Linked DNA regions of Bombyx mori. The protein of the gene in region 1 binds, or shares a complex with, the protein of each later gene. Links are inferred from orthologs where the notes say so. Each region holds a gene or a part of one and is shown in the gene's direction. Other genes may lie near its edges.

Region 1 (4,381 bases):
GACGATGTGCTGCCGTCTGATGAAGACGACGAAACACTCGAAGAACTAGAGCTTCTAGATGAAGACGTACTGGACACGACTTTTTTTTTATCTTTTCGCATGTCTTTGTTTGAATCCATTTTCATCTGTAATTCTAGTTCACGCTGCAACTGCTGTCTTCGTTTTTCGAGGACATCTGTGTCTGCATACTCTAAGTCATTTTGGTCCCAGTTATCGATTTCTCCTTCGGGGCTTTGACCTGACCGCACTATAACAGTAGAATGCAATCTAGTCTTCCCATCATCCTTCACTAAACGTTTCTGATCATTGTCTTTATGAGCTGCGCGTTGTTTAGAAGGACTGATAAGAGTATGCGTAGAAGCAAATTTACAACTTTTGCCGTAAGCACAGCTGCCGTGTTGGGCCCACTGTCTACAATGTTCAGTTGTTTTTTTAGCACTTGATGATTTCTTAGTACCGAGCCGATCAAACACACTAGGTCTAATAGAGAGATCTTTCGTTTTCGGCAATTCAACAGATATTTTTCTTTTTCCTTGTTTTGACATTATAGTAGAAATACATTTGTATCACATTAAACTAAAAAAAAAGAACTAAAAAATAATCTTCTCTAACCGGCACGGTGAAGTCAAGTAAATTAAAGGTTTTATATTTTTTACAAAAAGGAATTGTACAAACATTTATTTATGGTCTATTATCTATGACAAACGCTATTATTTGGAGCGATTTTTTTCTACTAGTTTCTCTTAGTAGGCAAGCGGAATGTAGTTCTCGTTACATAAATTAATATTTACTTAAATCTTTGTTTAACAACACGTTTGCATGCAGTACGGCAATGGATGGCCATAATTCCTAACATAGCTTACAAGTTACAATCAGCTTACATCTCAAACTCAAATAATAAGCGTATTATCTATGATAGCTTACAAGGCCCAAGGCAAAAGCAGAAGCGCTTTTACACGTGGAGTAGATAGGTAGGGCTCACTAAATTTGGCCCCTCGTTTTTTGATTTTTGGATTTTTTTTATTTTTAATTATTTGTTCGTCGTTTGTTCGTTAATTTTCGAATGTAAAAATTGTTTGTTCGTCTTTTAATTATTTATAATTAATTAAACAAATGATCTCCCTTAAGTTGGGCCCCCCCTTACTAGATATCTTTATTTTCATCGCTCAGATTAATTAATTTTGATCAGTTACATTATTAAGCCGCACAAACTAATACTTAAATTAGTTATCTCACAAGTGTGTATAATCTATAGATACTTAAAATTTATGGTATAATCGGATCTATTCCGTTCTTTAATCTATAATCGGATTTTTGGCAGGAACGCGAGGAGTGAAATTGTGTGATTTGTTTTATTTTGTTTACTTAGTGTTTCTTCAAGTTTAAATGTGTAATAACGGTGGTTTATTAACTGTTTAATATCTGTGAAAGTGCACAAAAGTGGGAAAATGAAACAAAGCCACTGGACGTAACTTTTCGGGATTCTCCAAAAAGTCCACTGAATCAAAATTCTCAGTAAATGACCACCATTTTACTTAGATTATATTTCATCTCACATCATCTCATCTCATTTCATTTCACTCCATATTATGATTTTTCATAAAAATTAAAATATAAATTAAAATAAAACATGACCTAAAGGTCTTAGTTACCAGGTCATAAAATCTCTTAAAAAAATAAGGTACAATCTATGATATTGTGTGTCATAGATTAAACACTGAAGTGTGTTCCATAGATTATACACATAATATATTTGAGTGTGTTCTAAAGAAATAGAATTAAGCTAATTATTCAATTACTCAACTGTTTGAATTGAATTTATAGTACCTACGGTACATATTCGAAAGCTTTAGAATGCCTCTTCTAGACGGAAAAGAAATCGACATATTCTTCGTAAGTTCAAAAATATTTTTATAATTTACAATGCTTAGTGTGCATACATATTTACTTTTGCCGACATATGAAAATACAATCAACAAATATTTTTTTCAACCCAAATTCAATTAACAAAGAAACCTTAATATATCAACTGCTTTAAAAAATCTAACCAAAGCTTTTGTGGTTTTCTGGTACGTTGATATCAAACATTATTATCATATTAATTCAAATAAAATTGTTATTGTTACAGAGTGAAGAAGATCTTCCGTATGAAGAGGAAATCCTAAGAAATCCATTTTCTGTCAAACATTGGCTTAGGTACATTGAACACAAGAAAACTGCACCCAAACATGAAATTAATATGATATATGAACGAGCTTTAAAAGAATTACCAGGATCTTTTAAACTTTGGTATAACTATCTTAAATTAAGAAGAAAACAAATAAGAGGTCGCTGTATAGCTGACCCATGCTATGAAGATGTAAACAATTGCTTTGAAAGGTCTTTAGTATTTATGCACAAAATGCCTAGAATATGGATGGATTACTGTTCATTCTTAACAGATCAGTATAAAATAACTACAACAAGGAAAGCGTTTGACAGTGCTCTTAGAGCTTTACCAATAACTCAACATCATAGGATATGGCCTCTTTACTTAAATTTCTTGAAGAAACACAATATACCCGAAACAGCTGTAAGAGTGTTTCGTAGGTATCTTAAATTATGTCCTGAAGATACTGAAGAGTATATTGACTACTTAACTTCAATAGATAAATTAGATGAAGCTGCAGTCAAATTGGCTCAACTAGTTAATAATGAGAATTTTCAATCAAAACATGGAAAGTCAAATCATCAACTTTGGAATGAATTATGTGAATTGATATCAAAGAATCCTGATCAAATTCATTCTCTGAATGTCGACGCTATTATCAGAGGGGGATTAAGACGTTACACTGATCAGCTAGGCCACCTGTGGAACTCTCTTGCAGACTATTATGTTCGAAGTGGTCTTTTTGAAAGAGCCAGAGACATTTATGAAGAAGCTATACAAACTGTGACTACAGTGAGGGATTTTACACAAATATTTGATGCTTATGCACAATTTGAGGAATTAAGTCTTAGTAAAAAAATGGAAGAAGTTGCCAAGAAAACTAATCCAAGTGAAGATGATGATATTGATTTAGAATTGAGACTTGCCAGATTTGAGTATCTTATGGAAAGAAGGCTGTTACTGCTTAATTCAGTTCTACTTAGACAAAATCCACATAATGTGGCTGAATGGCATAAAAGAGTCAAATTATATGAAGGTAAACCCCATGAAATAATAGATACATATACTGAAGCAGTGCAAACTGTAGACCCTAAATTAGCTGTTGGTAAACTTTTCACACTGTGGGTTGGATTTGCAAAATTTTATGAAAACAATGACCAAATTGAAGATGCCAGATTAATTTTTGAAAAAGCTACACAGGTAGCATATGTTAAAGTAGACGATTTAGCTTCAGTTTGGTGTGAATGGGCTGAAATGGAAATCAGACATGAAAATTATGAGCAAGCCCTAAAATTAATGCAAAGAGCCACTGTTTTACCAAGCAGAAAAGTAGCATATCATGATGATTCTGAAACTGTGCAAATGAGGTTGTATAAATCACTAAAGGTTTGGTCCATGTATGCTGACTTAGAAGAGAGTTTTGGTACATTCAAATCTTGCAAAGCTGTGTATGATCATATTATAGATTTAAAAATTGCTACTCCACAAATTATTATCAATTATGGATTATTTTTAGAAGAGCATAATTACTTTGAAGAAGCTTTTAGAGCATATGAAAAGGGTATTGCCTTATTCAAGTGGCCTAATGTGTATGATATTTGGAATACATATCTAACAAAATTTTTAAAAAGATATGGTGGTTCAAAACTTGAAAGAGCAAGAGATTTATTTGAGCAATGTCTTGAGCATTGTCCCAATGAATTTGCAAAGTCTATTTTCTTATTATATGCAAAATTGGAAGAAGAGCATGGTTTAGCTAGACATGCAATGTCTGTATATGAGAGAGCTACTACTGCCGTTCTACCTGAAGAAATGTTTGAAATGTTCAATATTTATATTAAAAAAGCTGCTGAAATTTATGGAGTTCCTAAAACACGACAGATTTATGAAAAGGCTATTGAGACTCTTCCTGAAGAGAAGGCTAGGGAAATGTGTGTTCGCTTCTCAGAAATGGAAACTCGCCTAGGTGAAATTGATAGAGCTCGGGCAATATATGCACACTGTAGTCAAATGTGTGATCCTAGAATTACAGCTGATTTTTGGAACACTTGGAAAGAATTTGAAGTTAGGCATGGTAATGAAGATACAATGAGAGAAATGTTAAGAATTAAAAGAAGTGTGCAAGCCACATATAATACACAGGTGAATATGATGTCTGCACAAATGTTGAGTTCTGCAGCACAGGCAGCTGGTACTATATCAGATTTAGCACCAGGTATGAAAGATGGAATG
Region 2 (4,537 bases), on another chromosome or scaffold:
GTCGGCGCCACGACCACCAGCCCTCTCGATCGGCAGGCTGTCCGAAGCCCGCCTAGATGGCGCCGGTTTGAATGGGTTATCCTACGAAATACCCCGCTGGGTCAGAACCAACGTGGGTCGAGGATAGCCGGCCTTCTATCACCTGGATGCTCTTGCGTAAAACGCGTGCAGAGCAGCTTGTACGTTGTTTTCTTAGACCCCATTCGCCGGGCCCCAGACCGACATATGAGGGGGACCCGAAACACTTAGAGGGCCAGGGATTTGGCCAGATCCGCCTCCCTGGTCCCCGCTCGACGGCGGCGGGCTTGTGCGTCTCTCACGCGCCCCGCCGCCTCCTTCTGCCAGATGGTGCACTCGCAGAAGTCGAGCATCGCCTTCTAAGACTCGTCGTCGCCGAGCATCGATGCCACAACGCTCGGCAACGACAAGTCTTTTCCTATTTTTGCGACGAGGACACGTCGCCACCCCTTCCATGTGGGGCAGGCAACGAGCGTGTGCTCCGCCGTGTCCAAGTCGCAACCACAATGGTGGCAGTCTGCCGTCGGCCCGGCTCCGATCTAGTGCAGGAACTCACCGAAGCAACCATGCCCACTGAGCACCTGCGTGAGCCGGAAAGTGAGGCGTCCTCTGTCACGATCCACCCAATCCACAAGGACCGGACGAATCGCCTCGACGGCCCTACGACCAGCCGAAGGATCAGCCAGCCGTCTGGACCATGACTCCAGCACGGACCGCCGAGATTGGGCCCTTCGCGCTCTGACCACATTGGGGCTGGGACGCGCCACGCCCCGGTTACGAAGGTCAGCCCACCACTGATAGTCAGCGGCGAGCGCCTCCGCTTCCAGAACCCAAGGTGGCGTCCCAGCCAGTACACACGCCGCCTCAAAGGAGATGATGCGATAACCACGGATGAGTGGTATGGAGTGTAGAACTAATCCTCTTTACATTTAGGAGCTTATAAGATGTGTTAAGGATGTCAGCAACTTGAATTAATAAAAAAATTAGCTTTATTGGAAATGGACAACCTAGAATATTGTGGGAAGTTAAAATAATAAACGAAAGCATCAGATAGATTTTTTTTCTTAACAATTTAATATCTGCTAGGGAGCTTAAGTGGCGGAAAATCTAACACAATTGTTGTGTGGATGTTGTATTGTGTTAGATTCTTCTAAATAGTAGTTCTATAAATTCTCAATAAATATCTACTATTTCACGGACAGTTTATTTCATTTTTTACGGTTTGTGTTGGAGTTTGTATATTAAATGTAATGGCAGGCAACACTTGACACTTGATTAGATTTCGAATATTAGAATGATTTTAAATGTTTAAAAAACAGATCATTGTATTCTCCTAAGAAAATGTCATGACTTCTCATCTAGACACGGCAAGACAAACATGTAATAGTTTTGTAAAAAATATAAAGATAATAATTGTATAATGGTGTAAAAGTGTTCAAGCAATCTGCAATATAATTATAATGAAGCAGTTGTGTTTTTAAATAGCCCCTCATCACCTACAGAACCCAATCCCCTCAAATATAACCGTCCAACAGTTTGTCTCATGTCATTTAATTTTATTTTATTTTATTCAACTTCGTTTTGGTCTATTTCACTTTTAAACAGTAGATATGGCTTCAACCTTTTTTACCAAGTGGTGAATGAGCTTCATTCCCATTGCCTGTCTAACGGTCGAATCAAATAAAAAAATATCTATGGCGGTCACAAAACTCAAAAAGCCTAGAGTCGAAAGTTGGAATGGTTTTGTTTGGTTCCATGTAATTTTACGGCTCCGTGCAGAATTTTCAAACCTTTATAGTGATATCATAAGCAAAATGTCTCTCTATTGTGCGAGTAAGTTTTAGTTTAAATTCAGTAAATTGTAAATTAAAGGAGCGAAACGTATAAAGTATGTTTATTTTGAACGGATGCGTACCTGCCGGGCTACTAAAGTTTTTCATCAATTTTAGACAAAAGTTTTGATATTTGTATTTTAGAAGTCATTATTCCATTTCATAGGGTTTATTTCGCTATTTTTATGAATATTACAGTTTTATGAAAATTAACAGTTTATGTGAATAACCTAATTTATTAATTTAGTATCAAATGAAGTTCCCGAAGTACCAGTGGTATCACCTACGTCAGGAGCTGTGTTTGAAAGGAGAATCATTGAGAAGTACATAATAGAAAATGGCGTGGATCCTATTAACGGCAAGGAGTTGAGAGTTGAGGACCTTATTGAGATCAAAAGTGAGGAACCTTTCAATCATAAATGGCTTAAATTCCTCTAAGAGGTTAAGAAGTAATTATTAAATTATATAATAAATTAAACAATATCTTATCTACTTCAATACATAAGATATTAATTTTGACGAGTATGATAGACTCTGTAACATAGTGAGACCGCATAGTGAGACCGAAAACTCTTAAAGTACTTTAAATGTCTGATTAAGTAATGAATAATAAGTACAAGATTGTATTCATTTGTAGTCATCATAGCCCCAAGGCCACACTTTGTGTACTCATATTCAGCAAAGCAGCTAAATTGCAAGATCAAGTTATATACATCATGCAAGAAATAGTCACACAATTTTTTTTAAACAATATAATGTTATGAAGATTAGTGTAATAATGCTATCTTATAATTCATATGAGACAGCAAAACTTCAGCTTAACAAAGCCTAAAACTTGTCTCAATGAAAACTCAAGAGATAGTAATGAATAATTCATTTCTCAAATAGCACCACCTATAGTAAAGCCAAAACCTCCAAGTGCCACATCAATCCCTGCCACACTGAAAAGCATGCAAGATGAGTGGGACGCCCTGATGTTACATGCCTTCACACAGAGACAGCAGTTGCAGACTGCTAGACAAGTTAGTAATGAATATTTTTTAAATGACAAAGCTCATGTGTGTGTTTCAAAGCTGTAGAACAATAAATTATGTTTACCAGTTAAACTATTATGCTTATTGCCTACATATTAATATATTATGTATATGACAGATTGGCTGGTTCCATGGGGTTTTTAAAATGATGATGTCAGCGTTTCTGACACCATTTTCTTCATTGTTATCATTGCCTTCCATAGTGACACTAATTAAGATTCATTTTTCCAATGAATTCCATTTATTTAATTTCAAGTGTACAAGGATAAGAGCAGAGAATTCTGCCTCGTTCAACAGCTTGAGCTGGAATGTTTTGTGCGACAATAATCACTCCTATTTATACTAGAATAGTGCGAGTAGCTTAGTTATGAATTCTCTTGAATACCGTCTTAAACAGTTGTTGATATGTGTAACATTAAGAATATAGTCAACTTCAACTATTTTTAGTTAACTAAACAGTGACGTTGCGCCGACATATATGTTATAATGAATAGAGTACAAAAGCAGGAATTTAATCGAACTGTGATCTTGTCTGTCCAATCAATATAGTAAAAAATACATCCCTATTCATGTGCAATTGCGAATCCTTTATATGTTTGGACATATCATTCGTAATGAAAGCTCATTGGAATGTTTAGTGGTTCAAGGAAAAGTAGACGGCAACGCTCTCGCGGCCGATCATCCACAAGGTGAACAGACTTGATTCATCTACGAAGTGTTTCCTTACTAAATGTACACGTACCACCACAAATAGAGAGAGATGGAGAAGTCTCTCAAAAGCCGCAACCAAACATTAAGACATACGTAACCACGACCACTGTGCCAGAAGTGTACGACTGAGAAGAATTCATTTTTACTTTATTGGTTTAGCTCCTATTATATGTCCGTCATGACTATTGATTGTAGGAGTGGGTGATATAAATCGTATATAGATTCAATATCTATATATCGCAGCAATATCGTTGAATCCGATATCGCCCCGCACGAAATCTATATATCGATATCAGCCGATACACGATATTGCTCGATGTGATGCGCATCGCCATATCGCGATATCGGACCGATTCGTGAATCGAAATCTATATTTCGATATCAGCCGATACACGATATTGCTCGATGTGATGCGCATCGGCATATCGTACCGATTCGTTAATATCAGCAATATTCGTTTGGTTCGTATCGAATCGGCCAGAGTGAGTGAGCGCGCGATAGGGATATCATGTAATGAATGAAACAGAAATAGGCATTATCCATACAATTGTAAACCTTATATTTAAGTCCATATGTCTGTAGATTATTCTTAGCGTATCAGCAGGATACAATTAAGGAAAGAAGTTTCAACTTTCGACCCTAACTTGAATGCAGTATAGCCTATTTGCATCGTTGAATTTAATTTCACGCGCTTTGACCTTGAACTAGAATTTTTGGACAAGTGTTTATAAATACTTAAAAGTTTTTTGTGTTTGATTTTTAAAGTACACATTTTTCTATTTTTAGTTGAATCCAAATAATTGAGTTTATTTCTTGTGTTTGTATTAAACTTTTGAAATCTACACTCTTTTGGTATATTTTGTAATTTTAAATTAAGACACAAAATACTAAAAACTGAAAATAATGTAGCCAGTCCTAAGCCTGGTAAAAGCATGAAGGAAA

Evidence for each region.
Region 2: pre-mRNA-splicing factor syf1 homolog (region 1) and pre-mRNA-processing factor 19 share a complex: the UniProt entries of both Homo sapiens proteins name them as parts of the XAB2 complex. The link is inferred for Bombyx mori from reciprocal best matches to the Homo sapiens genes XAB2 and PRPF19.

Annotation. Positions count from the first base shown.
Region 1 is NC_085110.1:13,376,962-13,381,342, reverse strand, and holds the start of pre-mRNA-splicing factor syf1 homolog, read left to right. Parts: upstream 1-1,514; 5' UTR 1,515-1,854; coding exon 1,855-1,893; intron 1,894-2,128; coding exon 2,129-4,381. Other genes in the region: zinc finger CCCH domain-containing protein 13, read right to left, coding at 1-545. UniProt on the Homo sapiens protein: Involved in pre-mRNA splicing as component of the spliceosome. Involved in transcription-coupled repair (TCR), transcription and pre-mRNA splicing.
Region 2 is NC_085116.1:17,076,608-17,081,144, forward strand, and holds the start of pre-mRNA-processing factor 19, read left to right. Parts: upstream 1-1,649; 5' UTR 1,650-1,658; coding exon 1,659-1,851; intron 1,852-2,097; coding exon 2,098-2,247; intron 2,248-2,738; coding exon 2,739-2,872; intron 2,873-4,537. UniProt on the Homo sapiens protein: Ubiquitin-protein ligase which is a core component of several complexes mainly involved pre-mRNA splicing and DNA repair. Required for pre-mRNA splicing as component of the spliceosome.